Linked DNA regions of Cricetulus griseus. The protein of the gene in region 6 binds, or shares a complex with, the protein of the main gene of each other region. Links are inferred from orthologs where the notes say so. Each region holds a gene or a part of one and is shown on either strand. Other genes may lie near its edges. The genes, in order: Snrpd3, Cwc22, Cwc15, Plrg1, Rbmx2, Snip1 and Ppil2.

Region 1 (4,708 bases), on a different chromosome or scaffold from region 6:
CTATAAACACTTTACCACTGTATCTACCTCTTAGCTCGACACAAGTGAGCCATTATTTGCTGAGGCTAAGAAAGGGCAACGATCTTATCAAAGTTCACAGTTAGATAACTGGAGGAGTAAAAATGTAAATCCCAGGGTAGGTCCAAGCCCTGCTCCAGCCTACCACCAGAAGGAACCATTCCCCGAAAGTGGTGTTACTCTCCAATTGACACTTAAGGAAGGGCTCAGGCCCCAAACCCCTTGACCCTTCCCATGAGATAGCAGCACGCCACAACAGCTTATTAATATATCAACTCTTGTGCCCCAAGCAGAGCTCCACCATGACTTCCAACTTTCCCCACTTCTTGAGCAAGCAAAGGGGTTCGGGTTTCCTCGGGGCGGAGGGAACCAGAGAGAGAAGAGTACTAAGACAAAAGCGCTGCGTTTGGGAAGCCAGATTAAAAAAAAAAAAAAAAAAAAAAAAAAAAGGCCCTTCCCTTTGCTGAGGGATCTCAGGCCGTTCTTTCCCCCTTCACAGCCCCAGGCCTTCCACAGTTCCCCCTAGGAACAGCATCACGCAACGGGGTTCAAGCAGGACCATTCGTTTCTGGGGAAGGCAGTGCCTTTGCCCCCTCGGACTTTTGCACTTGACTGCTCTCAGAACTCCCCGAGAAACAACCAGAAGCGGAGGACGGGAGACGAGAAGGAATATCCATCCACCTAGCTAAGGTCCACTGGAAGCTCCAGTCTGGGCTGAGGCCGCCTGCGGCCCAAGGTCGCGCGGCCAGACCCTGCCCAGCTCCAGGGCGGAGTCCCCCTCGGTTTCCCCGGTGAGGGCAAGGCCCTCTGAGAGGCACTGACCGGGCTCGAGCGGCTGCCCCGCTGCCTCTGCCTCCGTCCTCATGACCCGGGTGGCGCAGGGCGCCCATGGCCCCGGCCTGGAGCTGATCGCAGCTGCGACTTGTGCTGGGCAGCGAGCGCGGCCAGTGTGGGGAGAGTTCCGCCGCCGCCTCTCCTCCTCCTCCTCCTCCTCCTCCCGCCGCCGCCGCCACCGCCGCCCGCCGCCGCCGCCGCCTCCGCGGTTCAGAGCCGGGTGGGCGGGGGCTAGGCCGCCTCAAGCCCCGCCTCGTCCCTGCCAGGTCCCCGGCCTGGAGACCCGCCCCTCCCCTAGGCCACGCCTCCTCGCCCACCCACTTCTCTCCCATAAAGAGCGACCCGCAGGGCCCGCCTTCTGCGGAAGCCCCGCCCCTCCCGGGCCCCGCCCCCAGGCCCTTCCATAGCGACGTTGGCTCCTCCCAAACCCCCTCCGCTCGGCTTGCTCCTTTGCAGCCCCGGGTGTTAGCGCCGGCCCCTCGCAGTGCCTGCCTCATCGAAACGCCCCGGGAATCCTCCTCTGCCTCCCTTTCGGTCTTAGCCACACGATGAAAAATGCCAGTTTCCCACGCTCGGTGCGCCGCTTACCTGATGGCGACCAGATCCAAAGCTTAGATTCCTAGTCCAAGCCTCACTTCCTGTGGCACCACAGCAATTTTGGGGCTCCAGCCTAGCTCCCGCCCAATCCGTCCCTGGAGTACTTTGTAAGTGGGGGGGGGGTCTCCATGTTCCTTTTGGGGCTCGAGGACGGATGCTTCCGGCGGCCCCCCGGGTCCTCTCCAGGGCCGGAACGATAATGCCAGAGCCGTCGTTTTCCGAGCCGGCGGAGTTAAGGAGGAAGCATACGTCAGAGCGCTCTCGCCGCTGGGGAAAGGAAGAGGAGGGGCCCTGCGCGCGGTATCCTGGGAACGCGTGGTATTCTGGGTACCCCGGGCCCGCCATTCCCTCGCTTCACGCCTTCGCCGTGTAACGTTTGTGCCAGGGCCGAAAGGGAGCCGGTGAGGAGAGGCGGAGAACCGGTAAGAGGAGGCCTAGGCGTCCCCGGAGGGTTAGGGGCAGGAAGGGAGCCTGCGGAGGAGCTCAGCGGGGCACTAATGGCGGGCGGGAAGCCTGGGCCGATCCAAACACCGTCTCACCCGCGCTTGGAGCAGCTCCTCGTTTACGCCTGTCTGCGCGTTCTGTGCCTTTCCGGCTCGCCGATTTTCGGAGCTCGCCCGCAGTCGTTTCTCACGAAATACCCCCTTTCCCTGTGTGCCCTCCTTTTCAGCGTCCTCTGCATCCCTGCTCCCCTCGGATTCCGGCGCTGGCCCTCCCCTGCCTTCCACGACTGCTGCACGAGTCTTAGCGAGTCGCTGTGCTGCAGAAGGGCCATGTTCGAGCTATCCTGCAGATGCTGCTATTATTCCTTTTTGTTTTCTACTGAGCCTTTGGCAATGACCCTTTTGTGTCCCCCCCCCTCCACCGTTTTCAGCATAAAACTCACACTCCTTAAGTTGAAAGCCGTGGTTCCTCACCAAGAGAGACAGCGCCCAGCATCCTTATAGCCTTCTCATGGACATAGGTGGGAACGCTCATCACAGTTGCGCTTAGCCTCCGTCTTTTACTGAGGCTTAAATCGAGCGTCGACCCTGATGGTGCTCCTGTGAGCATTTCCTGTCACTTTGTGAACGCCTTGCTATCTTATCAGGGTCTATGTCTGCTGAGCACTTGGAATATTACTAGTGTGACTGGGAGGGGAGGGGCTTTTTAATTTATATTTCAGTTGAATAGCTACAGGTAAGCAGTGATTGCTTTTGAGGTCCATATCATAGTTCTTGGGTGACTATAAAGGGTCATGTGTTTGGGAATAGATAAGAGGCACTCTTCATTCCCACCAGCCTCTTCTGTCCAGCTTGCTTGCCATCCTTCCCAGCTCGAAGGCAGTGTGTCCTTGCCATGGTGGTTCCTTCAAACCAAGAGTCAGACTCCTTCCACAGAAAATGCAGCTTAGGCCGGGCGGTGGTGGTGGCTCACACCTTTAATCCCAGCACTCGTGAGGCAGAGGCAGGCGGATCTCTGTGAGTTTGAGGCCATCCTGGTCTACAAGAGCTAGTTCCAGGACAGCCTCCAAAGCCATAGAGAAACGCTGTCTCAGAATAAAAAAAAAAAAAGAAAGAAAGAAAGAAAGAAAATGCAGCTCTGACATATTTGCAAAGGGTATGGTATGCCAGTCCTTCTTAAGCTCTGAAAGACAGCTGTTGTCTCTCTCTTCCACAGGAACACTCCTGCCAAGATGTCTATCGGTGTGCCGATTAAAGTCTTGCACGAGGCTGAGGGCCACATCGTAACTTGTGAGACCAACACTGGCGAGGTGTATCGAGGGAAGCTCATTGAAGCAGAGGACAACATGAACTGCCAGGTACCTTGCTTTGCACCTGTGAAGGAACTGTGGGTGAAAGGTAATATCTCTGACTGCTCCAGGTCTAATACACATACCTTGGAGTTGTCATAGAGAGTTCAGATGGCTGTGTGTTCACAGTGGCCAGCTCAGTGCTTTGCGTGCAATAACTGGTGCCTGTTAACTGTATTCCACATGAGAAAAGTAAAGGTTGGAGAGGGAAAGTACATTATTTAGAATCACACCTGTGGGTCAGGTGGCCTGACTATTGCCTTTTAGGGTTTGCATTAGTTATTTCCTGTGGCTGTGATAACACACCATTAGAAGGGGTTTTTTTAGGCTTGCAATTACAAAGGAATGAGTCCATCGTGGAGGGGAGAAATGGTAATAGCAGGACGCTGAGTGCTTACATCTTCAATAGAAAGCTTGAAGTAATGAGAGCTACCTGGAAGTGTTGGAGGGTATTAATCTGAAAGCCTGCCTCCAGTGACATTCTTCCTTCAGCAAGGCTGCATCCCCTCATCCCACCCCCCCCAAAACAACCCACCAACACATGGGGGCCAAGTGTGCAAATGCCTGCAACTGTGGAGGATACTTTTCATTTAAACTACTGTAATTGTGCTGCTTAGTTTTTTTGTCAACTTGGTGCAAGTGAGAGTCACCTTAGAAAGGGGAACCTCAGTTGTGAAAATGCCTATCCTATAGGCAATTCTGTGGGGCATTTACTTGATTAGTGATTGATGGGTAAGTGCCCAGCTTATTAAGGGCTAAGCCACTTCTAGGCAGTTGTTTCTGGAATAAGAAAGGAAGCTGAAGGCTGAGCATGGTGGTGCACACGTTTAATCCCAAGACTAGGAGGCAGGGGCAGGTGGATTTCTGAGTTCCAGGAGAGCCAGAACTGTTTCACAGAGAAGCCCTGTCTCGATAAACAAAACAAAAAAGATGTATTTGTCTGTTTTAGGGCATTTAGTTTTGGGAGTAGAATGAAAGAATTTGGATAGTGACTATTAATATATTTAGTATGCTGCTCTAATTAATGAAACTTACCGAGGTGGGCTTCAAACAGCCCAACTATAACAGGAATTTGTCTGACTAGATTATGGTATTCTCAGAAGTGCAGCCCATGTGATGCAAAGACACAAATCTTAGTACATTATCAGGTTAAATCTTGGAAAGCAGTGTGTCTTGTGTGTGAGCTTTGTGCTGCCCTTGCCCCCTGTTCCCTCCAGAATCGGTGATAACAGATGAATGCTCACTTTGATTTACTTTAGAGTGTGTAAACTGAGGTACTGGGAATTAGGACTTCATTGTGTCCTAATTTTTGCAGGGACATAATTTAGCCCATAATACTGCCCACATCAAGATGATGAGTCTTCATTAGGTTGACCCAGAGCCTAAGCACATTGCATAAAGATCAGTAGGCTGTGTAGAGCAAACCCCAGCAGCAGGTGAGCACTGACCACTTCACTAGTGTATCTC
Region 2 (4,592 bases), on a different chromosome or scaffold from region 6:
ACTTAGGATTCATTTTCCTAAGCCTGTCTATTCTTGGCTTGCTTTCCCCTACATCCTTGGCTCATAGCTTAGGTGCCAGGGGATAGGGCTTAATTTTATTCAGTAGCCTGGCAGCTCACTCTTGAGCAAGGGTATCATTATAGTTTCTCTTGATCTACTGACTAAACTCAGTTTTTCACCCATTTTCATAACAAAGGCCAAAGACCTTAAATTTAAAAAAGAACATGATCATCCTCACCATACTCAGTAAATACATGCCTTGTAATAAAACACTTTAGTGCTTCTAATCGTGTACTAGATGTTTTCTTCAATTGCTCAAGCTTGTATTTGTGCAGAAGAGTCTCTTTGATGCTATAACAACTGAAAAATATATGATACAGGACTCCCAAAATTATGAAGCTACAGCATAGTTATAGTCTTCCTGGTAAAAACAGTGGCTGTGGAGAGGGAGGCAATACTTACATTATACAACACAGAAGACATCAAAGGTCAATGTTCTTATCCTTAAGGTAGAGAAGAAATATCTAAATGTAGCTACACCACAAACAGATTTGCTGGAAAAGAAAAAGCCTGGGGTGTACAGAAAGCAGGAGATACTAAGGCCTACTCCTGAAGGACAAGTAGGAATTACCCACGTAACAAGAGAAAGTCATTCTGGATAGGTAAACACATGCATACAGGCTGAGAGACAAAAAAAAAAAAAAAAAAAAACCCAAGGTGGGTGACTAAGTCATTTGAATAAATGGAACATATAGAAACTGAACATAAATGAGATGGACCATAAGAGACCGATGAAGCTAAACCATGAAAGGCTTTTTATGGATATAGCAGAGCTTTGAAATTCTCCATCATAGACAGTACCAGACTCTTAACAGGTTCCAATTCTAAAATTAAGTTTGAGAAAGGGAGGGTGGTTTTTCATTATCTTAGATCCACAAAGGACTAAAGTTAGTCTGACAACATATAGAGAACACTCCTCTGTCTCTTATTCTTGGAACCACCAAGCTGTCTGTCATAATCTGCATCAAGGCAGCACTATTAGGTGCTGTGCCCTTTTAGGCACAGAGGAAACTGGACCCTGATGGTACAAACATAGGAGTGTATCACAGGCCTTCATCTAACCTTCATACTTTGTATCCTCCCCTTCCCCAAATCAAATCTGGTCCTCAGCTTTACTATTTAAATGTAGAGCTGAATATATTCTGCTAACTCTCATAGAATGAACTGGAATGACCTTTCTGATCATTATAAGTTTTGTTTGTTTTTTTTCCAGAGCACAGTCTGGCTTAAAGGAAATCTCTCCACAGAGAAATTTACAACATAGCCTCCAGACACACAGCACTACTACCCGCCACAGAAGCTCTGGTCTAGAAGGAAAGTACTCAATAAACTGGTTCAGAGAACCCAAAGGATTACTGAGCTTTGTGCAGCTTAAGCCATTAAAGAGTTAGGTTCAAGCACAGATTAAACATCAGTTCATTCTGGGTCTCTCATAGCAGCTCATTCTTTAATCACCGAAGCTTTTTCCTAAAGAAGGAAGCCCCATACTTGTTTTTCTGCTTTCTGCTCACTAGGATTTACTGATGTTACAAAAGGCAAAGGTGTGTTTCAATCCACTCCTCTGCCCATGTGCTAACTTTTAAGAAAATCCTTCCAAAGTTTGTGCTGTGGTCAGCATCCAAATGTCTTTTCCCACATTTACCTGGGAGATGTAAGAAAATGTGTAACAAGCCTGAGGAGCTGCTGAAATCCATACTAGAGTCCTTTGTGTTCCCCTACCCTCTCATGTTAGTAAGCTCAGACTTAAACAGAAAACAAAGGAAATTTGATAGTATAGCTGTATAAACTAATAACCACTTCTTTTTGAAACTAGTCTATGCCCTGACTGAGTCTGACTAGGCCAGTCATGAACAACTTAGGATGTTAGGGATAGAAAAAAATGCAGTCTATTAAATACAGTGCACAATTCACCGAAAAAATGTAGCTCATTTTTACATGTAAGGGTGTTTTGCCTTCATGTACATTATGTGCACAACTCAAGTGGCTGGTGCCAGCACAGCTCAGCAAGAGGCTATCCGGTCCTCTGAAAACTGGCATTACAAATGGTTGTAATTCACCATGTCGGTGCCTGGAACTGAACCCAGGTACTCTGCAAGAGCAGCAAGCACTCTTAACCTCTGAGCCATCTCTCCAGAGGCTTACCATGCTTAAAATAATTCATGCTTCCCCAAATCATTCTCTGCTTCCCTCAAATAAACGTTGGCGGGTATAATGGATAAAATTGTCTCGCAATTACAGCAGGTGAAAATAACTAGTACTGCATACCTATGTTTGGGACTTAAGAATAGTACAGATATTTTAGCGTTAGGATTAACGACGAGAGATAAAACGCACACCAAGCGAAACATGGAGCACTAGGGATAAGGCACACGACAGAGGTTCAGTCAAGTCGATGAGAAAGAACCACAAATGAAAATGTTAACAGGGTTGGCCAGTGGGCTATTAAGTTGAATGAGGCAAGAGCGTTACTACAGTTTATTAATGCCAGCCCCGGGTCCTGAGGAGCAGGGACTTCAGCAAGCGGGACTGCGAGGATACGGCCCTGGGAGCTCCCAGGAAAGGCGTCCACCCGCGAGAACCTAGACCAGAGCCCATTCGCTCAGTCCCCTCCACCAGCGCCAGGCCCGGCCCGCTCACGCCGCACCGCGCGGGGCGCGGGCCGCCGGTGGAGACGGCGCAGCCACGCGCGGAAAGCGAGGCCCACCCGGCCAGCACCCACTCGCATGCTCCTGTCCTCTACACGCGATCCAGCACCCCGCCGCCCCCACTCTGGCTGCTTGTCTATCCCGAGTCTCCAGAGTTCGGTAATTACCTAAGGCTCCACCGTGCCGCCATCGCACCGGAAGTGCGTCACTTCCTCTTCCCGGGTGAAGGCAGAGCGAGAAATTCGTGGAAATCTGGTAGTAAATTGACTCTAGTATGTTACTCTAGTAATGATAATACCGTGAGCAACACCAGAGTCAAAGCAATCCAGCCATCCACCCTGTCCCTCCTTGCCAAGACTGTGCGAAAATAGAAGTCCGTGTGAACTACAATGTCCAGGATCCTCTGGTAGCGCGGACGGAAATGAGAAGTAGTACCCTGCCAGAGATAACCGCGGAGCTTCATGGGAATTGCAGTTCGTAGTGGGTAGGCGGTCACAACAGAGAAACTTGATTGTGGGTTAGGTTTCCAGGCATGCAACTTATTTTAACAATTTCTATTACCATAAAAAGTAGCTCTTAGCAGTCACTTTCTGTTGGCTTTGTTTTTTGTTTGTTTGTTTGTGTTTTTGCAGTGTTGAAGCTTAACCTTAAGATACGTACTAGGTAAGTACTCTACCATAGAACAGAGCCTTACCATGAAGATCTTAAAAATGAGTAGAGTTCCCTAACCTGGTGGAGTGGCACACACCTTTAATCCCATCACTCTTAGGAAGCAGTGGCAGGTGGATCTCTGTGAGTTTCGAGGCCAGGCTGGTCTACAATGTGAGTCCCAGTGTTATGGTAGAAGTTTTACCCCAGCCCCTGACATCCATATATCCAAAGAATCTGGAATGTTATGGTGGAAGTTCCACCCATATCCCTTCCCCTATCTCCCTCCAATCCCTGCTTCATCTCAGAAAGCCTGCCAAATGATGACCCTCCCAGAGATGCTCAAGACCACTCCACAGGGTATTTAAACTGCTCCCCGGGTAATAGACATGTGGTTTTCAAGTCTTTCTTTCTGTCTCCTCTCTTGGGAGCTGGAAGTCCATCAGGGAGTATCCATTAAACATGGACTTTTCTCTAATTCGGTTTGATTTTGTCTGACATGGATTGCTGCATCGGTGGAGAGGCTTATCCGGGTATAGAAACCTTTCATCCAGGATAGCCAGAGCTGTTAACACAGAGAAACCCTTTCTCAAACAAGGTAGAAATCTCTTTCAGGCTTTTGACAAAAAGCTTTACCAAACGTCTGTTTAGCAGGGGGGAAAAGGTGACAAAATGTTTAGTTCCAAGATTTTAAAATCAAGTGAATGGAACCCAACATGTTGGTGCTCACTCCCAGCCCTTGGGAGGCCAAGGCTGGCATATGGCATATCTGTGTGAGTTCCAGGACAGCCAGAGCTACATAGTGAGCCCCTGTCCAAAAAAAAAAAAAAAAAAAAAAAAAAAAAAAAAAAAAAAAAAAAAAAAGAGCAAAATAAAAAGCAAAAAGCAAATTGTAGATAGATTGTTAGATTGTGACTCTTTGGTCTTAGGGAGGTACCACCTGGCATGCTTAGGATAAGGAGAACACTACTTTGTAACGCTGGAAAGTAAAATCTGTAAGAATTCACTGAACTGGCATCAATTATACTGTTTCCTTAATCTTTGATTTTCAGTGCTACCAAAATCTAACCTTTAAAGTACTGCTAATGTGATTGGAAATCTCTTCCTCAGACAATAGCATATATCTCCAAACATTTTATAAATCAGGCTTGGCTTCTTTAAGAATTGTGACTTTATTTTAAAAGAGAGACAGAGTCTCACTATATAGCCCTGGCTGGTGTGGAATTCACTATGTAGTCC
Region 3 (4,065 bases), on a different chromosome or scaffold from region 6:
TATGTTTTGTATCTTTTTTTAATTTTCAAGAAGAGTCATTGGCATGCCACTAGTGGGCAACTGTTAAATGCCTAACTGTTGGTGGTTTTCTGATTGATTATTAAGGAATAAGTAGGCATTTTTTTAAGGTCTTAAGAATTATTGGAGTTTCATCTAATGTGTTGGTATTTCTAAGAGTTGAGTGACACCTTCACTTCTTTTTATTCCTGTCTCCTTAGCTGCTTTTTGAAGGTGTTTACAGTAGCAGCATATTCAAGCTAATTAGCCTGTTGTTAGGGATCAGCACACTTCCTGTAAGGACCAGACAGTAAATATTCTTGTGTGGCTGATCACCCAGACACACAAGTAGTGGCTCTGTTACTATTACAGCTCAGAAGTGGCCACAGTGCCTATATTAATAGGGTGGCCATGTTCTCAAAAAATATAATCTCAAGCCTGGGGGGAAAGTGTAGATTTGATCCAGAGGCTGTCTGACCATTCACCTACAAGTCTGACAATATGTTTTTAAATTTTAAATGTTTATTAAAATGCTCCTAAACTTAACCTGTAAGTAACTAAATAAAACGTTTACATCTGTATCTCAGCTTCTCACAATTGAGAGACTGTTGACTATTTTGGAAAGAATGAGATATTTGTAATAAAAATAGCAATGTATTTACTTTTTACAAAGATTTTTCTGGTATTTGTCAAGAATCAAAAAGAGGAATGAGTAAGTTGGTAAAGTGCTTTCCTGCCATGTGCGAAGCCCTAGGTCCCTACCACTGAAAAACTGGGCCTTGTTGTGTACATCTGTGGTACACAACCATGCACTCAGGAAGTGGGTAAGAAGTTCAAGGTCATCCTCTGCTACCTAGCAAGTTCCATGCCAGCTGGGCTATAAGAGAACCTGTCTCAAAAAGGAGAAAGGAAAGGAGAAAGAAAACTACCATCTGACAGATGTTCATTTGTGAACCAATATAAGACAACTGACTTGAAGTTAGTAACTTTGTGTCTTCCTCTGCCATTGACAGGAACAAGAACAAAAAGCAGAGGAAGAGAGAATTCGAATGGAAAATATTCTGAGTGGAAACCCCCTCCTCAATCTCACTGGCCCATCCCAGCCTCAGGCCAACTTCAAGGTTAAAAGAAGGTACTAAAAGTAATGGGTTGACCAGATGGTGGTGGCACACACCTTTAATCCCAGCACTTGGGAGGCAGAGGCAGGCGGATCTCTGTGAGTTTGAGACTAGGCTGAACAGCCAGGGCTACACAAACCCTGTCTTAACCAAGGGGATAAAAAATAATGGGTTGATCTATATGTGTGGTACATTATTTGTATTATGTGTTACATAAGGCTTCTAAGACCCCACCTCCTATATATAACCTCAGTCAGATTTTAGAATAATGGGAGAAGAAGAGAGGCAGGATGACTTCATTTTAATGCATACTCATAATAACCAAGTGTCTGCCAAGTCATGGTCTAAACCTGATCACTAGCTACATGACGGTAGCTACAAAACCTGTACGTGGGATGTGAGTGGAAGGGTCCTCAAGACCACCCCTCACAGTTCAGTTCTAGAAGGATTCAGGGGACTTGCCATGACCATATTGATGTTTGATATTGTAAGATACACACAGATCATACAGTTGTGAGTATTCATAGATATACATTCAGGTCACAAGGTGGAAAGACATAGACTTCCTTACACTCCTATTCCTGTAAGAGGTCACTAAACAGTGAAACTAGAAGTTGACACTTGATGATCAAGGTTATTGGGACTCGTCCTGCAGGAACTTCTGTTGCGTGGAAGTCAAGTTAGTTATGTACTATAGGCAAGTGATGGTGAGAGGTGACTCGGGTCTCCAGTGCTAGCCGAGCTAAGAGGCAGGCTGGGAGTGAACACTGTACTGCATGTGAAGGAGGAGGGCACTAGAGAGCTGGAAAGAGTCTGCATAATGTGACAACAGATGAGGATGCAGAGGAAAGTAGAGTGAGCACTCACAGGAGCCACTGTGTGTGTGTGATGGGGGGGGGGGGCTGTACTGTGTCAGGGGTGAGGAGTCCCGTTGCCTTTCCTTTCTGCTCACCTCCACCGCTGCTGTCTCATCAGGAATGAAGCACTGCCCCAGCTGCTCTCCTGCCCATTCACCCCAAAGGTCATGCTCCTGCTCACACACAAAGAAAACTCCATCTTCTTCCAAGCTCTTCTCTCATCCCAGCACCATGGTTCTTTCTTTTAAAAGTCACGATAATAGCTGCTTTTTTCTAAATTCGTTCGTTTCTTTACTCGATCACAGTAAAAGAACAGTCCTTGTGGTGACATAAAGCTAAAAACTTAACACACATTCTTGAAGACAACAGTACAGTCAAGGGAAGGTTTGCTGACACCAGCAGTTTAGAGACCAGACTCCAAGCATTTTACCTGAGCAGTTGCAAGGCAGGCATGGGAAGGAGTATGGCTTATACTGAGCATGAAAGAGGAAACAGGTTCCAGGCATGCTAGGATTGGAGTGCTCTACACATCTCTAAGTGTATCTAGTCTGTGTGTTTCTGCAGTTGGTTCAAGCTGGTAATAATTCGTCTGGGAGTCACCAGCATGGGCAGAGGGTTGTGTCAGTGCCTGGAGTAGGGTGCAGTATAAGTTCATAGTACTGGAGTAGTATAAGTTCATAGTAAGTGCTTAAAAACTAGTATTTGGATTTAAAATCCTAGGCTAAGACTAAGCACCTAGAGAAGAGGGCAGCCAAGACATTCCCATTAGTGTTGTGAGAGGAATGAGTGACAGTCTGGGAATACTGTATGCTGATGTGTGTTCGAAGAGAAGGGAGCAAGGGACCAAAAGCTCATTGGGATGAGTTAAGAGACAAAACACGATAAATGAATATGAAGCAGTCTGGTTTATTCTTCCCTTTGTGGATGCAGGAGTAAATATCCCAGTTTACCATGCTGCTGAGCTTCTCATGTGTGCAACATCAAGGCAAATTTACTGACACAGTACCCATAGGTACACATAGTCTTTGCTCATTTTCCTTGTGCAATTTCTCCTGGTAAATATACACCAACACACACAAGCACAATGTAAGCTGTGTTTTATGTATGTTTGTGTCTGTGTTTGTCATGAGGAAGGGTTTATGTTTTTATATGGGAGGTGCTGCTCTGACGTTATGCACTTTACTTTCCATGGCACCTTTCCATGAGTGTGTTTCATGCTCTCTGAAATCCAGCTGAGTTCTACTCTGAGCTCCTTAGCAGATACTTCTTCAGTATTAATGGAGACTGGGGCCAATCTGTGAATCTTCATTGTTACATTCCTGTAGTTCTGTCTTTTGTTGCTTTATGATGTATGACCAGCATGATGGATATAATTGATTAGAAGTATGTACAAAACTTTACAAAGCATCAGGAAATGGATCACTTACTGTCTAGTGGTGTTGGATCAGGACCATGGCCCTGCCTCTTGGTTTTAGACCTGAAAATATCACACCTTTACCTGAGCGCAGTATGTGTGTCTGCTTCTGCTTTGTAGCTCAGAGCTGCTTCCACTAGGGGAGTGGTATGTGCTCTGAGTATGGGTGCCTCCTGCTGTGACAACTTCCACCATAGGCACACCAGTTCTTTTCTTGTCAGGAGGCAGATTGTGTCTGTGTTGATGAAGCTTTACAGCCTGTGTGGTGTTCTTGTTTCCTGATAGAATTATAAGGTATTTATTTTCTTTTCTTCCCCTTTAGGTGGGACGATGATGTCGTTTTTAAGAACTGTGCAAAGGGTATAGATGATCAGAAGAAAGACAAAAGATTTGTAAATGATACACTTCGATCTGAATTTCACAAAAAGTTCATGGAGAAATATATTAAGTAGTACAGTTTTATGTGCTTAATTAAAGTCTAATAAAATGTTAAGGATCAATTTGACTTTTGGGGGGTTTGTTCTTTCCCTGTTTGAACTTTCTCAATCTCTTTCCCGTAGTGTGGTATTTTATCTATAATGGATTTAGAGGTGAGTCTGACCAGTTTCCAGTCTTACTTCCTTTTTAATATGGAGAAAGGGAATCTGCTTGGAATAAATATTTTTAACCTAAGTAAACC
Region 4 (4,065 bases), on a different chromosome or scaffold from region 6:
GTGTAATTAAGTTTAAAACATGCTTGTCAATATTCCAAGCCAAAAAAAAAAAAAAAAAAACCTAAAATCTGAAACACTTGCAGTCCAAGCACTTCGAATAAAGAATGCACAACCTAAGAAGCTACCATCAGCATCACCCCATTAATCCAAAACTATATTGAAAGCTATGAAATTCTACCCTTAGGAGGTATAAACTGGGCTAAGGGATGTATTAATTGGGACACTGCTTGCCTATTATGCATGAAGATCTGGGTATATCTCCAGCCTGCAATTCAGGAACTCAGGAGGCAGAGTAGCAGAATCAGGAGAGGTCAAAGTTAGCTCAGCTACACAGGGTTCTAGGGTAGCCTGGGCTACATGAGACCCTATCCTGAACAAACTCACATGATATCATTCTAAGGAAACAGAAAGCCTGAACAGAGATCTGCTCTGAAATGTGGTCTTTGCCAAATGAACTCCATCACAGTGCAAATAAAGCCTGTACTCCTCTCAAGGGACTGCACAGAACATCACAAAACCAATAGCACCCAACTGCAATCATACCAACCTGCATTACCAGTACAGTCCACAATAACATAAAGTCATACAAGGGTCAGAACATGCCTTGTATTGTGTGTGTGTTGGATGCTACTACTAGGGTAACACTTTCCCAGTAACTACAGTAAGGAAACATAAGTTAAAAAAAATAAATGATAACTGATTCACTCACTGGCAGCAGTAAAAGCAATACAGGAACCTAGGGACAAACCCTGTTGAAGTTGAAAAATACCTTAGTACTATAAAAATTGTTTTCTTAAAATTTAATTATTTTGTGTGTGCATGCACATACACATGGCACACAGTCACACACAGGTCCTTGTGCTTGCACACAGCCACAGCAAGTGCTCTTAACTCACTGAACCATCTCCTCAGCCCTATTCCTTGTATTTTTGAGACTGATTAGTAAATACCAAGATCACAATATTGTCTTTAAAAACTATATATAATGTTAAGAAACAAGATTTTGGATTCAAAAAAAAAACAAAAAACAAAAACTAGTAATTTATCAAAGCTATGTTTTTAGTGCTATAAAATAAATGTTAAGGACTATCTCAGTTTGCTATTTCTATTAACAGATCCCAGGACACTATTGATTTCAGCATCTGAGTAAGACTTTAAAGTTAAAGGAAAGGAAGGAATCATATTCCAAAAGCTAGAAATCTACAGTTCTTTTGACCCAAGAGACTTACGGAATTCATCGCTGTGGGCTGGGAGCGGTCAGAAGCCCCTGGGTGTCGGTACTCACTTCCAGCAGGAGCAGTACGATTTGCATCAACTCTGCAGAACAGAAAGATCATGAAATAATTACTCAGCACCTCTCTAATTAGGTATTCTGCACAAACTTTTCTTTGATGAATTCTGGAAGCCAGCTGGGAGACACCTCAGTTGGTAAAGTGCTTGCTATTGCAAGCATGAGGACCTTTGTTTAAAAAAAAAAAAAAAAAAAAAAAAAAAAAACAGCATGGTGACATGTGCTTGTGATTCCAGCACTGGGAACAAGACAGGCACACCCCCAGGGCTTGCTGATTGCCAGCCTAGCCTACTTGCTGAGTTCCAAGACAGTAAGAAAGACCTTAAACAAATAAAGGTAGGAGCAGTGAAATGGTACAGTGTGGGTAAAGGCATTTGCTTCACTTGCCTAAGTTCAACCCCTGAGCCTACAGTAGAAACAATTCCCAAAGCTGTCCTTTCATTCCACATGAGCATTATGGTATGTGCGTGCTTGCGCTCTCTCTCTCTCTCTCTCTCTCTCTCTCTCTCTCTCTCTCTCTCTCTCTCTCTCTCTCTCTCTCTCCTTTTTAATGGTAGGTCAGTAGTATCTGGCTTCCACAGGCACACACATTAACAACCAAAAACTGCAAATGGTGAAATGGTGAAGATCTGTGTCACTAAAGCATAAGTAATACCTGGCCTGATTTGGCAAAGACACAGCTAAGGACTGTGCAGCTGATTCACTTGGCATTCTTTGGATCTTAGTATCAGCAGTCAGGGCAACACCTATTTAAATAAAAACAGTTAGTTTCAGTATTATCGACCTTAATTACTTGCACTTAAAACAAACCTGGAGGAAAACAAAGTCATTTCTAAGCAATGACAGTATAATAATCTTGATTAAGTTCAGCTTGTCTTTGCTTTTAACTACTTCATAATAAATACTGGTTGAATACAAGCAGGTTGGCATTAAGAGCAACTCAAGATTATTTAATAAAGTCAAATTTCTATTTATTGAGACAGTATGTTTATAAGCAAATAGCAGTTATATAAACCTGTCTACACATGTACACATACATGTGTACTTGCTTGCTTCAGCCATACCTACTCCATATGCTTAAATTTAGGTACCTGCATATTTGTCTAAACCAACAATAACACATTTGTTTAGACCTAGTACAGCCTTATTGTCACCTACCAGGTCCTGGTGGATATGGATGTGTACCTGTCACCAAATATTCAACATCTTGTCCTAAAAATAAATAAATAATAAAGTCATTGCCAGTGAATTTATCTTTATTCAAGTATCTTTAAAAATGAATTATTAATATTAACTACAGTTTTCCTTCCCAACTAAATTGAAGCCTCAGAAATCAAGCAAGTTGGTCATTTTGCCTGTAAGATGTTACCAAATCAAGAAAGAGCATGCATTTTTAGCTAGCCATGCTGGGAATACAGGTTTTCCCATTCACTGACAACTACCTGGGTGGTTCTTCAAAGCAAATAGTTTCACATGGACACAAGAATTCTTTGTTCCTTATAATCTCATCTTTCTGACAGATGGTCTCCCCACAGGCTAATAATAAACTTCAATTTTCCCTGTAGACTCCACTGTAACTTTGTCTACCTCTTAAGAACTGTACTACATTTTGTTTTCTAGTGAAGTCATCAAGTACAAATCTTAGTCACTACTCCAGATGATGAGCAATTAAAACTTCCACAGTAACAGCAACATAATCAGTCTTCCCAGTGAGGCATTAAGAAAACATTTTTTTCTATTTTAAAAATCCACATGTAACCCTGATTCACCTTGATTGGCAGGATACTGTTTATGAGGATATGAATCTGCAGCGTTCTGAGGTCCCTTCTCCTTAAGGTTCTCTTTTGAAGTAGGCATATGCAATACAGGACCATACTCATTACGAAGCTTGATTGCCATTTTCCGCTTGTGACTATTTAAAAATTAGAAACAAGAAATGCATCTTTAAATACTGAAAACACACTCACCAATGAAAATATTCAATAGCCAGAAAACAAGCACATAAACCAATACTTTACTTGCTCTCACAGATACAAAATGTTTTTCAAGTTAAACAGTATTTTAAAAAGTACCAAATTTCAAAATGCGTTTCCATACATATATATTTACTTTTTCTCACAATCTATCATATAGCATTCATTAAACACAAGTAGGACCTTAGTTTGCCCAATAAACATGTAAGCTTTCTTGATGAGACCTCAAGGGTCCAAATGAATTAAAGGCATACACTAATATATTTTTTAAAATATATGAAAATGTCTGGCAGACACCTTTACTAGTTATTGAAAATGTCAGACCCAATGAAAGCACTAAATTAGTTCAGCCTTTTAAAGAGAAATGTACTTATATTATTTTTAAAAAATACACCTTATAGATTAAATATAAATAAAATGAGGGGGATCAAGTAGATTACAAAAGAAAAAGCAAAGGACAAAGAAGGGTACTACAAACAACACAATCCCAGAGTAAGGCTGGTGACAACCAAAATATGCTCAAAAGTCTTCATTCTACTAAGGAGTAAAGATGGGAGTAGGTACTGGGCAAGTACAATTTCAGCTCATCAAGGCTCCAGAGCAAGAAGCTGAAAACTCAAAGTGATTCATTAAAAATAAAATAACCTAACAGGAATGCTCTGAATTACTGGGTAACATAGTTACTTTTCTACTTCGGTGGCAAAACACCATAACCAAGGTAATTTACATACCAAGTATTTAATCTGGGGATCATAATTCAAGAGGGTTAGTCTTTGAGCATCATACTGGGGTGCATAAGAC
Region 5 (3,887 bases), on a different chromosome or scaffold from region 6:
TGTTTGCTTCTGTAGTTTATTTTTGTAAGGCAAAAACAGTATTTTAAGCTGGCTATGGAGTTGTATACCTCTAATGCCAGTAGAAGAGACTGTGAGGTAGGAGAATCACCATGAGTTTGAGGCCAGCCTAGGCTACATAACGAATTCCAGGTCAGTCTGCACTACAGAGTGAGACCCTGTCTCAAAAAGCCACCAAAGCCAGTTTAATTCCAGTCTGAATGACATCCCTGTGTGGTGAAGGCTAGAGCTTTGATCAGTCCCAGGCTAGATAAGGTTTCAGAACATTAGCATGTGGGAGATCCCAGAGCTTAGATCATTTGAGAGGCTTTCTGAAGGAGCCTAGTTCATTTCTGTCAAGTTTTTCCTGAACCTTGTTCAGCATGGACTTGCATTAGAACAAACTGGAATTCCCAGGAAAGTGCAGTGTTGACCTCTCTATTTGGGTTCCTATAAATTAGAGGTCATCCATGATGACAGGGCCCTCTGGGCCCTATCTGTGTGGCATTGTAGGATTAGGTCAGAGCACTGAAAACTTGGGCCAAACAGACACAGATTTAGCCTGGTTTTTATCAGCATTGCTGGATTGTTCCCTGAAATGGTTTTACTAATATCCACTCTCACTGAAATGCCTATTTACCCAAATCCTTTTTTTCCCTTTTTGATATAGGGTTTTTCTGTCCAGCCCTGGCTGTCCTGTACCTTTCTGTCTTGTTACTTTACTGAATTGTTATGCTGTTTATTTTTGTCATTGTCTATCATTGATGCTGTTCAATTTTCTATATACACTCTTGTATATAATCTGCAGATACTTTTACTTTTTCATTTCTTATATTAGTTTTATCTAACTGCATTATCTATGCCTCCAATATATTGTCAAATTGTTCTCAACCTTATTTGAAGCACATTAACCTTTTTGCATTTTGATACTAGATTTGGGGTTGGTGTGTATATGTGTAACCATATAATTTATATGTACTCATATAACTTATGTATCAATTATAGTTTTATTTTCTGACTCTTATAAAGCTTTATTTGGAATTGGTTTTAAAAGAAGTAAGGCAGACTATTTTTGTATTCAATTTTTGTATTCAATTCAAATTCAATTTGATCTTTATTAAAGTCTGTGTTTATTAGGTTTGTTTTATTTCATATTTATGCTTTTAAAAGAATCAAATTCTTCAAGGTTACAGATTTTCCTGAGTAGTGAGGCTTAGCTGCATCCTATAAATTTTCATGGCATTTTAAAATTTGTTGTTAGTTGCTAAGTGATATACCATTGACCTTTTAAATTTTGTTTCATTTTTCTTTCATCCATCTATTAGCTAAGAGAATAGGTTTCAAGTTCTGGTTAGCTGCAGGTTTTTATAAAAATATTTAAAAAAATGTTATTGTATGGGTATTTTGCTTGTATGTTTGTCAGTACCACATGAGTGCCCAGGCACAGAAGAGGACGCCAGATGCTTTGGAATTGGAGTTACTGATGGTTGTGAGCCTCCAAGTAGGTGCTAGGAAGTGAACCTGGGTCCTTTAGAAGAGCAAAACAGTGCCCTTAAACATTGAGTCATCTCTCTAGCTTCAGTAGCAAGCTTTGTTTAAAATATTATTTAAATATTTGTTTAAAATATTATTTCTAGTTTTATCACACTGATTGGTGAGTATATACTGTAGATTTTTAGAGTTTATTTTTAATTGATCCTCAAAAAGATTTGTTTTTAGTTCTGTGTCTGTGTGTGAGTGTGTGTGTGTGTGTGTATGTGCATGTACATACTCATGCTTGTAGAATCAATCCAGAGGCATCAGATTTCCCCAGAGACACAAAGGTTGTGAGACACCTGGCTTGAATGCTGGAAACTAAATTTGTTTTTTCTGCAAGAGCAGAGGTGCTCTTAACTTCTGAGCTGTCTTTTTTCCCCAGAAACTTTAGTGCTTATTGATATTTATTTTGAGATCTTACCAATAGTGAATCTAATTTGTTTTATGAATTCTTGAAAATAATTTATCTTGTTATATACTTCAAAAATACCTATATGTTTCCTAGTCTGACATTAGTGGATTATTGGCAATTATTTTTATTTCTGTTTCTTTTATGTTATTTGATATTAATTCATCTGGTCTTATTCCTTTAAGCTTTGTTTTAAACTTAAAAATCTCCAATAAGTTTCTGTTTCTTTTTTGTAGCCCTGGCTGACCTGAAAATCGAAATATAAACTAGGCTGTTTTCAACCTGCTGTATCATCTTGTTCTATTTCTCCTATACTGATTATTTGAATTGATCATTCAGTATGAAAATGTTTGCATTTTAAATGAATAATACATTTTATAAACTAAACAGATATGGGGAGATTGTCAACATTAATCTTGTGAGAGACAAGAAGACGGGCAAGTCCAAGGGATTCTGTTTCCTGTGCTACGAAGATCAGAGGAGCACAGTTCTGGCTGTTGACAATTTCAATGGAATTAAGGTAACTGCTTACTATGCAGGATTTGACTGGATTTTTCCTGTGTATGGGTTAGGCGGCATTCTTTTTTTTTTTTGTCTCCTGTTTACAGGTGTAGGAATAGTACTGGTCAGCTGGATGTATTGTGGGGGTTGTAGAGGTGCCTAGACACACTGGATAGGCAATGATTCCAGGAAACGATTTTCTGGCTTATGCATCTGCCAGGACTTATTCCTTTTCCGTATGTGTTAGCAAATTGTCATTCCAGAAACATGGGTACTGTGCCCCCTTATCTGGGGGATGTTTTTCTTATACACATTTTCCATCTGTTCTAGTGGATTAGAAACTAGAAACACTGCTCTTGGATATTGTGCTGTGCTAGGGAACCAGGGGCTTCATCATGGCTTTGTGAGCTAAGACAGAGCCATGTATATCTAGCATATGATTCCAGTGACTTCACATATTGGCTCCTGGACATTCTTTAGTTAAAATCTGGTGACTAATTCTATAAAAATAAGCCATTCTGAAATTTTAAAGGAGTAGTCTTCAGAAGAAGTCACCATCAAAGGAAAATTGCTTTTTAAATTTTTTTTATCAAAATGATAAATAGACAAAAGCTTCTCAGGCTTAAAGGTACACATAAAAATGTACTCTAGAAATGGAACAGTAAAATTGAAATTCAGGGTTCAGATGTTATTACCTGGAGAGAAGTGTATCTATTTGAAAATAGACTGTTTATAAAACACAGGCTTCATTTTGTTGTTCACCTTTGAAACTCTAGCTTATAGTCCAATACTCAGTTGGAACAGAAAGGTCCTGTTTGACAGGAGTAGAGAAAGGTATGAGAGCTCAAGAAAAAAGGAAGTAAAACTTGGAATATCCTCAGTGAGAGATGCTTCTCTATGAGACCCTTGATTCAATACCACCATAGCAAAAGCATTTTGTTTCCTTGGTCTTATTTTGCCTTTGTTGAAACAGCAGCTTTAGATTTCATGTTTCTGGCCCTCATGCTTTTCTAGGACATGTTTTCTTGTTAAACATTGTGTATAACTTTGCATGTATGTACACATATTCATATGTGTTCATGTATAGTTGGAGGCCAGAGGACAGCTTTGGCATCATTCCTCAAGATCTGTCTATTTTTTCCTTTATTTCTTTTTTTTTTCAGACAAAATCTCTCACTTGTCTGGAACTTGTGAGTAGGCTAGGTTGCTTGGTCTGTGAGCTCCAGCTGTCTTCTATCTCTGCTTCCCAGTGCTGGAATTACAAGTGTGTGCTGTCACCCAGATTATGTGGGTTCTTGGGATTAACCTAAGGTCCTTATTCTTACAAGGCTGGTGCTTTACCAATTGTACCAGTTCTCTATCCCTATAGATAATCAATTGTCCTTTAAATCCTAAAATCTTATATACTTTCTTGATGTGCTTTAGGGCAATACTTCTGAGTGTT
Region 6 (4,065 bases):
CCGCCCCCCATGGATTTAGGTTCTCATTCTCACTATATCACTTGGCTGACCTGAAACTCTGCCTCTTCCTCCTGAGTGCAGCCCCAGTCCCTTCTCCTTTGATAGTAGCTATTCCTGACCTTTTTAATTTAGCAAATCTGAGAAAATTTCTATTTTAACATTGGTCCTCTGGTTCCTAGCGAGACAGGTGGTCACTAACTGTTAGCTTCTTCTGGAGACTGCTGTTGAGGCTTTGCCTGTGGACTGGCTGATTACTGATTGATTTCTCATTGGTCTGTTTTTGTCCTTGTTTTTTTGAGACAGCATTTCTTTGTGTGATAGCCTTCCTGTGTAATAGCATGCTGGAACTCTGTAGATCAGACTGGCCTCAAACTCACAGAGGCCTGCCTGTCCCTACCCCCTGAATACTGGGGTCAAAAGCATGTGCCACCACCATCAGTCTCTCATTGATCTACTGGTGTGTTATGTGTATTGTAGTTTCTGCCAGGCTGATTTTTTTTTTTTAAAGATTTATTCATTTATTATGCATACAGTGTCCTGTCTGGATGTATGCCTGCAGGCCAGAAGAGGGCACCAGATCTTTTTACAGATGGTTGTGAGCCACTATGTGGTTGCTGGGAATCGAATTCAGGACCTCTGGTAGAGCAGTCAGTGCTCTTAACCTTTGAGCCATCTCTCCAGCCCCATGCCAGGCTGATTTTTAGTATGTAATTGTTGAAGCTGGAGCTTTTGAAATTATTTCAGTTTCTTTTTGGCTTATGAGGAAGTTGACTTTTTCCTTTACATAAATGTAATGGTTCTGTCCCCCCTCCCCCTCCTTCTCTCCCCCTCCCTCCCTTCCTCTCTTTTTCTCTCTGGAGGGAGGACAGGTTTTGTGTAGCCTTGGCTGGCTGTCTTGGAACTCACTCTGTAGACTAGGCTGGCCTCAAACTCAGAGATCCACCTGCCTTTGCCTCCCAGGTGCTGGGATTAATGGAGTGAACCACCACCACCACCTGGCTACTCTGTTCTGTTTTCTACACATGCTGCCCTGTGAGTTTGCTAGCAGGTGACTGATGGGAATATTATTTCTCCTTCCCTCTGTATCAGCCTCTTGTTTTGAGGGCTCTGGATGTGGGCTTGGGCTATCAGGCCTGTATTTGAGGAGCAGCATGGAGTATAGTCATAATGGCCCTCCAGGGGAACAGAACTACCACAGATGACACTCCAGGGGAATAGAACAGATAGTCTTGTGTAGATAGGAATTTGCTCTGAATATCATCAGCACTCAGGTTATAGATGTGTTGTTCATTTTGGGGGATTTAATTATTTTATGTGTGTGGGTGTTTTGCCTGCATGGATATCTACACCATATAGATGCAGTGCCCATGCTTACCACAAGAGAGCATTGGATCCCCTTGGAATGATAGTCACAGATTGTGAACAGTTATGTGGGTGCTAGGAACTGAACCTGGGTCCTGGAACAGCAGTCAGTGCTCTTAACTGCTGAGCCATCTCCCCAGCCCTGACAGCTTATTCACAGAGTAGAAGCCGTCTTTCCTTTACTGAATGCATCTTAATTTCAGGAACGTGAGGACCATCCTCGGAGAGGACGAGAAGATCGGCAGCACCGAGAGCCATCAGAACAGGAGCAGAGGAGAGCTCGTAACAGTGAGCGAGACCGGCACCGGGGCCATTCCCGCCAAAAGAGGAGCTCTGATGAGAGGCCTGTCAGTGGTCAGGGTCGGGACCGAGACAGCCAAATTCTGCAGGCCCAGGAAGAAGAAAGGGACTTTCATAATGCCAGGCGCCGGGAGCATCGTCAGCAGAATGAAGGTGCTGGCGGTGAAGCTCAGGAGGTGATCCCTCGCCCTGCTGGTAACAGAAGCAGAGAGGTGCCTGTTAAAGAAAAACCAAGCTTTGAACTTTCTGGGGCACTTCTTGAGGACACCAATACCTTCCGGGGTGTGGTTATTAAGTACAGTGAGCCCCCAGAAGCCCGGATCCCAAAAAAACGGTGGCGTCTGTACCCCTTTAAAAATGATGAGGTACTTCCCGTCATGTACATCCATCGGCAGAGTGCTTACCTTCTGGGCCGACATCGCCGCATCGCCGACATTCCCATCGACCATCCCTCCTGCTCAAAGCAGCACGCAGTCTTCCAGTATCGGTAGGTAGACCAGGAGGAGGACTGGAAAGGGAGCTGGGGTGAGTGTCTCATTGAGGACCCCTATGCTGTTTGTGGAGATGCAGAAGAGGCCATTACACCTTGTATCTAATAAGCTGGGCTGAAAGAGTCTAGCAGTCCTTGAGTAATCTCTTAACATTTGTGTGAGAATCTTGAACTTGATATCAGAAACCCAGATTAGCCGCTATCATTGCGGTGGTGCAGGCCTATAATCTCAGGTGTCAGAAGGCCAAGCAAGTATAAGCCAGAGTCAGAATGCCAGGTATATGCTGGCTGAATCTGCTGCTTAGATCATATTACCGTTACTATCTGATCCTCCACAGTCCCGTGGGAAAACAGGACCAGTGTTAACATCCTCATTTGACATCTGGGAAAACTGCAGCTCAGCACAGTTGCTGGTAGCAGTAATGATCTTCAGAGCAGAGCTCTGTCTCATATCCCGCCCTTGACACGAAAGTCTCATCTCATTCTAATGTTTTTCCCCATTTGGGCTGGTGCTAAAATAGCTGTACAGCATTGGAGGAAGTATATTTGTAGCCATAGCAAGAAGCCTTGAGTTCTACATTGGGATATCTCATGGCCCTCCATCCCCACCCACCACCCACAGCCAGCTCTACTTTTTCTCTTAGATATATTTAAACTGCTCCCAATTTCCCTGTCCAGGGCAGTGCTTCCCCTGTGACCTTCCAGAGGTTTTGTTTGAACCATGTTCGAGTCAGGTCAGTGACATCTAGATCTGTAGCAGAGAGCTGCAGAGTAGATGGTCCCTGGTAGGACTTGCTCACATGCTTCTCTCACTGGTCTCTTCTAGGCTTGTGGAGTACACTCGTGCTGACGGCACAGTTGGTCGGAGGGTGAAACCCTACATCATTGATCTGGGCTCAGGCAACGGGACCTTCCTAAACAACAAGCGTATTGAACCACAGAGGTACTATGAACTGAAGGAAAAAGACGTCCTTAAATTTGGGTTCAGTAGCAGAGAATATGTCTTGCTCCATGAGTCTTCAGACACATCTGAACTAGATAGAAAGGAAGACGAAGATGACGAGGAGGAGGAAATGGTGTCTGACAGCTAGCAACTGAGAAGCACCCACCCCCTCCCCCATGAGAATCCGTTCCTCCTGGAGGCCATGGGGTTGACTCCAGCGCCTCTTCTTGCCTTAAGTCTTTTCTCTGTTGCTGCCCAGCTTGTGTTGCAGTATGAGAACTCTCACTTCGTGTTTTGTTGAACTTGGCACAGCAGCCGCCTGCCTGTGGGCGCTTGTTTTCAGAACAATCTCACCAATTACAGCATGTTGAGTTTTGGTCAAAGTGTGTGGCTGTAGTGGGTGCCTTCAGAACTGCTGCACAGGAAACTTAAGCCCTTGGAAAGGGGATTGTGGCTTGTTCTCTTTGTACAGTTTCTTATTTATATAGTCGTTGAGCTTTGTGGACCAGGAGTTTTGTTTTGGTGACAAACCCTAGAGCAGAGAATCTCAGTAAGCTTTGGTTGTCACCAAAACAGCCTCCAGCTTATACCAAAGCTTTGGCCTGGGTCAGCTCTTGAGTCATAGAAGTTCATTTTGCACTTCGTTTTTTTGGGGGTGACAATTTACCACATAACCTCATTATTGACTGTCTAAGCTAGACAGACAGACACTCTGCGATGCCTGTGCAGATGTAACTGTGTCGGGAGGTCATGGCTCCTACCCACGGGCGCTGGTGACGTGCCATGTCCTGGGTGTGGAGCTGCATCCTCTGAGGATTCCTGATTTCCCCACGAAGCACAGACCCAACAGTTTGGATCACCTGGTCTTTTTCTTCAGCTTCACATTTTTATTCAGACATTACCTCTCTCTTCTCCCTTTGAGAAACACACTGACGTGGACTTTGTAGTGGGGGGCCCTGCTGTGGCCCTA
Region 7 (4,065 bases), on a different chromosome or scaffold from region 6:
ATGGCTGGTATCCCTGTGGTTCCCAGGTCTTGGTAGCTGGCCTAAGGTTCTGCCTCCTTCCCTCCTCTAACCCCTACTGGTTCTTCTCCCTGTCCCCGACCCTGACAGAGTTTCCCTGTATAGCCCTGGCTGTCCTGGAACTTTCTCTTGTAGACCTGCCTGCCTCTGCCTCCCAGGGCTGGGACTGAATGTGTGGGCCACCACCGCCAGTTGTGTCCCGTCCCATGTGGTCCTTTGGATGCAGTATCAGTACACACTAGGAAATGCACTGCCACTGAGCCTCTTTTAACTTTCACTTTGAGACAAAAGTAGTCTTTCTTTTAGTAATTTATTTTCATTTTATCTGCATTGGTATTTTGCTGCATGTGTGTCTGTGTGAGGGTGTCAGCTCTTAGAGTTACAGCCACTTGTGAGCTGCCATGTTGAAGCTAGGTCCTCTGGAAGAGCAGTCAGTGCTCTTAAGCACAGAGCCCTATCTGCAGCTAAGACCCTGAGACTTCTTAAATTGTCCAGCTGGTCTTGTAGTCTGTTCTTCTGCCTCAGCATCTGGAGTAGCTGGGTTATAAATATGTACTATCATGATCCCTTATCACAGCTCTTAAGGGCCACTAACCCTGTGTGTGCTTTCTTTCTAGGGCAGTACCACTGTCCAGTGCTGTACTCTGTGTTCACTGACAACACACATATTGTGGCCATCAGGACAACAGGCAATGTCTACACCTATGAGGTAGTCCCCTATTGCAGTAAGTGGGACTGTCCAATGTGGGGCCCTCACATGTACTTTGGGGATAGTGCAGAAACCTGGCTGAGTGCTGGAGGTGAACGAGGAACATCGAGCATGCCTGTCCCCTTGGGGTTTATAGCCTTCAGCACAAGGCATCGTTTCTGGCAGGTAGCCATCCAGCCTACTTTTTGAGGCCTTAAAATAAAGATCAGGTGACCTCAGCTGGACAGTGGTGGTGCACTCAGGAGGCAGAGGCAGAGTCAGACTGCTCTCTGTGAGTTTGAGGCCAGTCTGATCTACAGAGGGAGTTCTAGGACAGCCAGTCCTGTTATACAGAGAAACTGTCTCCGGGAGTTAAAAAAAAGAACCTAGGTGACTCTGGTGGCTTTGGACCTGAAACCTACGAAGGCAGTTGGGGCTGCCTAAGCAAGGATTCCTTGCATCCCAGGGAGTCTTCCCTGTCTTCAGCATAGACCAGACTCTGGAAAGGACCCTGGGAGTATAGGGAGAAAGGGGAGGCCAGGCTCTTAGGAAGGAGGAGGTGTCAGATTGATGGGAGGTACAGGATCTATCTTCCTTCACTGATCAGACCAGGGCAAGAAGCAGTCTGTGATGCAGAAGAGCCCATGTTAGACCTCTTGTCTGGAGCAGCCAGGTTGGTTTAGCTAGTCTCTGCCAGGAAAGTGGGAGCATTTGAGATGTGCACCCCAGATTGGCTCTTTGTATGCTGGGTTCCCTCTTCTGTGCCATGACAGAGGGCTCATGACACCTCTGTCCTGCTGTAGGCAGTGGAGCAGCTAAACATCAAGGCCAAGAACTTGAGGGACCTATTGACTGATGAGCCCTTTTCCAGGCAAGACATCATCACCCTGCAGGTAAGTGCTTCACAGTGAGTGCCTCACTTTGACCCCCAGCTCTGCCTTCAGCTCTCCTCATGAGGCTTGGTGATCTTCTGTACCACAGCACCCGTGGCCACTGCTCCCTGCAGGCACCTGTCAAGCCTTGCCGTCGGCAGCAGGTGCTTGCTACAGGCCTGGTTTTCTTCCTGAGTGTTCTCTTCTTGTCACAGGACCCCACCAATCTGGACAAATTCAATGTTTCCAATTTCTTCCATGTGAAGAACAACATGAAAGTCATAGATCCAGGTATGGACAACTGAGGCTGCTGCAAGTAAAGTGGAGGTGTGCTTCCTTCTCGGGTGAGCTCTTCCTTCTAAGTGCTGGGGTTACAGGCATGCATACACCACCATGTCTGTCAGGCTCCAGGTGGTCAGAGAAGCTGCTGGCTGTAGTCTTGGAAACACCAGGACACCTCTCTTTCCCTTCCTCTGCTCTGGGGGCCCTGTGGTTTTTTTGGATTCCTGTTGGCTGCTGCCCTTTCCAGGACAAGTGAGACTGTGGGTGACTGGGTGACATCAGACTTTGTAGGGTGCTGTGTTTGGCCCATGCCGTTGATCACACTGTAACATACAATGGAGCGGCTGAAGCTTCTGGACTTGCTCTTCATTCCAAGGAGCCAGCTAGACTCATGGCCAGAGCTTTTTTTTTTTTTAAATAAATTTTATTTAAATTGGAAACAATCTTATTTTACATATCAATTCCAGTTCCCTCATGGCCAGAGCTTTATTGGCCCACCTTAGCAGGAAGCAGTATTCTGACCTTTATAATGTACACTGTGGACCAGTCAGGATTTAGGGAGGTAGAACAACTCAGGAATAACTGAACTCAGGAGACTAAGAGGCCAGGCCTAGGGATGCTCACTGCCCAGTAAGTGGCCTGGCAAGCAGCGTATGGCATAGATGAAGCATTTCTTATATGAAATACTCCAAACTCTTCCTTCCTTTGAAGTAAGCACTTTTAGCTGGGCAGTGGCAGGGCACGCCTTTAATCTCAGCACTTGAAAGACAGGGACAGGTGAGTCTTTGAGTTAAGGCCAGCCTGGTCTACAGAGTGAGTTCCAGGACAGCCAGGGCTGCACAGAGAAACCTTGTCTTGAGACCCCCCCCCCCCCCCCCACACACAAAAGCGAGAAGCGCGTTTAAAATCACACAAGCAAAACATTTTGAAAAGGCTGTAGAATACAGGTAGATACAGAGGACAGCGACACTTGCGTTTGAACCATCCTGATACTCCCATTGACTGTATGAGGGAAACCCCTCTAGCCAGGCCCCATGATGTTGTGTTCTGTGTGTGTCCCACCTTACTGCACCCACTAATGCTACTGCCAGATGCCCCAGGGCAGTAAGCTCTGGCTGTGCTATGGCCAGAGAAGCCTGTCTTAGTCAAGCCACCCACAGCTTCTGCCATGTGGCCAGTTCCAGCTCTATTCCTGTTGTGTTCATCTTGAGCCTCTGGGGCCTTGGCTGCCTGCTGTCTTGGCTACTCAGTGTCCATACCCTGTTTTGTAGATGAGGAAAAGGCCAAACAGGACCCATCTTATTACTTGAAAAATACAAATGCTGAGACCCGAGAGACACTACAGGAGCTCTACAAAGAGTTCAAAGGAGATGAGATTTTAGCAGCCACCATGAAGGCACCTGAGAAGAGGAAGGTGGACCAACTGAATGCTGTGAGTGGGTTGCTCTGTCTCTGCCTCTGACCAGTGGTAAAATGCTGGGGAAGGTGCTAACAGAGATGGACCTGGAGGTGTGGTGGTTGGGACCCTCCCAGTCCTGTGGGGCCCTCCAGGGCTGTTGAGGTGACCTGGCTCCAAACAAATCAGAAGGGCGTAGTACACTTTTGGGGTGGAGGAATGTTTGACAAGCTGGGGTCCTGTGGCAGCAGTGGATCAGCAGAAGTAGGTCTGCTTTGTGCTGTGGGCTCTGACCCAGGCTTCAATGCCAAACTACCGTGAGTCTGATGTTCAGAGGCGGCTTCTCCATTTCAGGACAGATGGAAGGGGGGGCTGGGACTGCCAGGGTCTTGAGGTCTCTGACCTTGCTTAGGCCTTACCTGGGGCGCAGGTGCTGGTCTGCCCGAGGTCCTGTCTGCAACTGTCTGTGTTTGCTGGAATTTCTCCAGCACATTTAGCTGATAGGTGCTGTCCTCCCATTTAGGCCGAGCCTAGAAAGCCTCAGCCATGGGAAAGGCAGAGGTGGGTCTCCCATATAGGGAGTTACCCAGGAAAATTTGGAAAATTAAATAAAGTTCATTGTCTATAGTTTCCCTGTTTGAACCGGGTGGTGGTGGTGCATATCTTTAATCCTAGCACTCGGCAGGCAAAGGCAGGCAGATCTCTGTGAGTTGGAGGCTGATCTCTGTGAGTTCGAGACCAGCCTGGTCTACGAGAGCTAGTTCCAGGACAGCCTCCAAAGCCATAGAGAAACCCTCTCTTGAACCCCC

Evidence for each region.
Region 1: Snip1 (region 6) and Snrpd3 share a complex: the UniProt entries of both Homo sapiens proteins name them as parts of the minor spliceosome. The link is inferred for Cricetulus griseus from reciprocal best matches to the Homo sapiens genes SNIP1 and SNRPD3.
Region 2: Snip1 (region 6) and Cwc22 share a complex: the UniProt entries of both Homo sapiens proteins name them as parts of the minor spliceosome. The link is inferred for Cricetulus griseus from reciprocal best matches to the Homo sapiens genes SNIP1 and CWC22.
Region 3: Snip1 (region 6) and Cwc15 share a complex: the UniProt entries of both Homo sapiens proteins name them as parts of the minor spliceosome. The link is inferred for Cricetulus griseus from reciprocal best matches to the Homo sapiens genes SNIP1 and CWC15.
Region 4: Snip1 (region 6) and Plrg1 share a complex: the UniProt entries of both Homo sapiens proteins name them as parts of the minor spliceosome. The link is inferred for Cricetulus griseus from reciprocal best matches to the Homo sapiens genes SNIP1 and PLRG1.
Region 5: Snip1 (region 6) and Rbmx2 share a complex: the UniProt entries of both Homo sapiens proteins name them as parts of the minor spliceosome. The link is inferred for Cricetulus griseus from reciprocal best matches to the Homo sapiens genes SNIP1 and RBMX2.
Region 7: Snip1 (region 6) and Ppil2 share a complex: the UniProt entries of both Homo sapiens proteins name them as parts of the minor spliceosome. The link is inferred for Cricetulus griseus from reciprocal best matches to the Homo sapiens genes SNIP1 and PPIL2.

Annotation. Positions count from the first base shown.
Region 1 is NW_023276806.1:263,063,188-263,067,895, reverse strand, and holds the start of Snrpd3 (small nuclear ribonucleoprotein Sm D3), read left to right. Parts: upstream 1-1,717; 5' UTR 1,718-1,871; intron 1,872-3,108; 5' UTR 3,109-3,124; coding exon 3,125-3,250; intron 3,251-4,708. Other genes in the region: protein GUCD1, read right to left, coding at 841-883. UniProt on the Homo sapiens protein: Plays a role in pre-mRNA splicing as a core component of the spliceosomal U1, U2, U4 and U5 small nuclear ribonucleoproteins (snRNPs), the building blocks of the spliceosome.
Region 2 is NC_048599.1:97,135,309-97,139,900, reverse strand, and holds the start of Cwc22 (pre-mRNA-splicing factor CWC22 homolog), read right to left. Parts: upstream 3,056-4,592; 5' UTR 2,873-3,055; intron 1-2,872. UniProt on the Homo sapiens protein: Required for pre-mRNA splicing as component of the spliceosome. As a component of the minor spliceosome, involved in the splicing of U12-type introns in pre-mRNAs. Promotes exon-junction complex (EJC) assembly.
Region 3 is NC_048597.1:127,982,433-127,986,497, forward strand, and holds the end of Cwc15 (spliceosome-associated protein CWC15 homolog), read left to right. Parts: intron 1-1,010; coding exon 1,011-1,129; intron 1,130-3,708; coding exon 3,709-3,838; 3' UTR 3,839-3,891; downstream 3,892-4,065. UniProt on the Homo sapiens protein: Involved in pre-mRNA splicing as component of the spliceosome. Component of the PRP19-CDC5L complex that forms an integral part of the spliceosome and is required for activating pre-mRNA splicing.
Region 4 is NW_023276806.1:71,280,151-71,284,215, forward strand, and holds part of Plrg1 (pleiotropic regulator 1), read right to left. Parts: intron 3,204-4,065; coding exon 3,061-3,203; intron 2,504-3,060; coding exon 2,450-2,503; intron 2,038-2,449; coding exon 1,947-2,037; intron 1,318-1,946; coding exon 1,230-1,317; intron 1-1,229. UniProt on the Homo sapiens protein: Involved in pre-mRNA splicing as component of the spliceosome. Component of the PRP19-CDC5L complex that forms an integral part of the spliceosome and is required for activating pre-mRNA splicing.
Region 5 is NC_048604.1:20,788,400-20,792,286, reverse strand, and holds part of Rbmx2 (RNA-binding motif protein, X-linked 2), read left to right. Parts: intron 1-2,332; coding exon 2,333-2,462; intron 2,463-3,887. UniProt on the Homo sapiens protein: Involved in pre-mRNA splicing as component of the activated spliceosome. As a component of the minor spliceosome, involved in the splicing of U12-type introns in pre-mRNAs.
Region 6 is NC_048595.1:27,982,965-27,987,029, reverse strand, and holds part of Snip1 (smad nuclear-interacting protein 1), read left to right. Parts: intron 1-1,565; coding exon 1,566-2,149; intron 2,150-2,978; coding exon 2,979-3,243; 3' UTR 3,244-4,065. UniProt on the Homo sapiens protein: Required for pre-mRNA splicing as component of the spliceosome. As a component of the minor spliceosome, involved in the splicing of U12-type introns in pre-mRNAs. Down-regulates NF-kappa-B signaling by competing with RELA for CREBBP/EP300 binding.
Region 7 is NC_048597.1:72,234,750-72,238,814, forward strand, and holds part of Ppil2 (RING-type E3 ubiquitin-protein ligase PPIL2), read left to right. Parts: intron 1-635; coding exon 636-727; intron 728-1,509; coding exon 1,510-1,599; intron 1,600-1,793; coding exon 1,794-1,869; intron 1,870-3,131; coding exon 3,132-3,292; intron 3,293-4,065. UniProt on the Homo sapiens protein: Has a ubiquitin-protein ligase activity acting as an E3 ubiquitin protein ligase or as an ubiquitin-ubiquitin ligase promoting elongation of ubiquitin chains on substrates.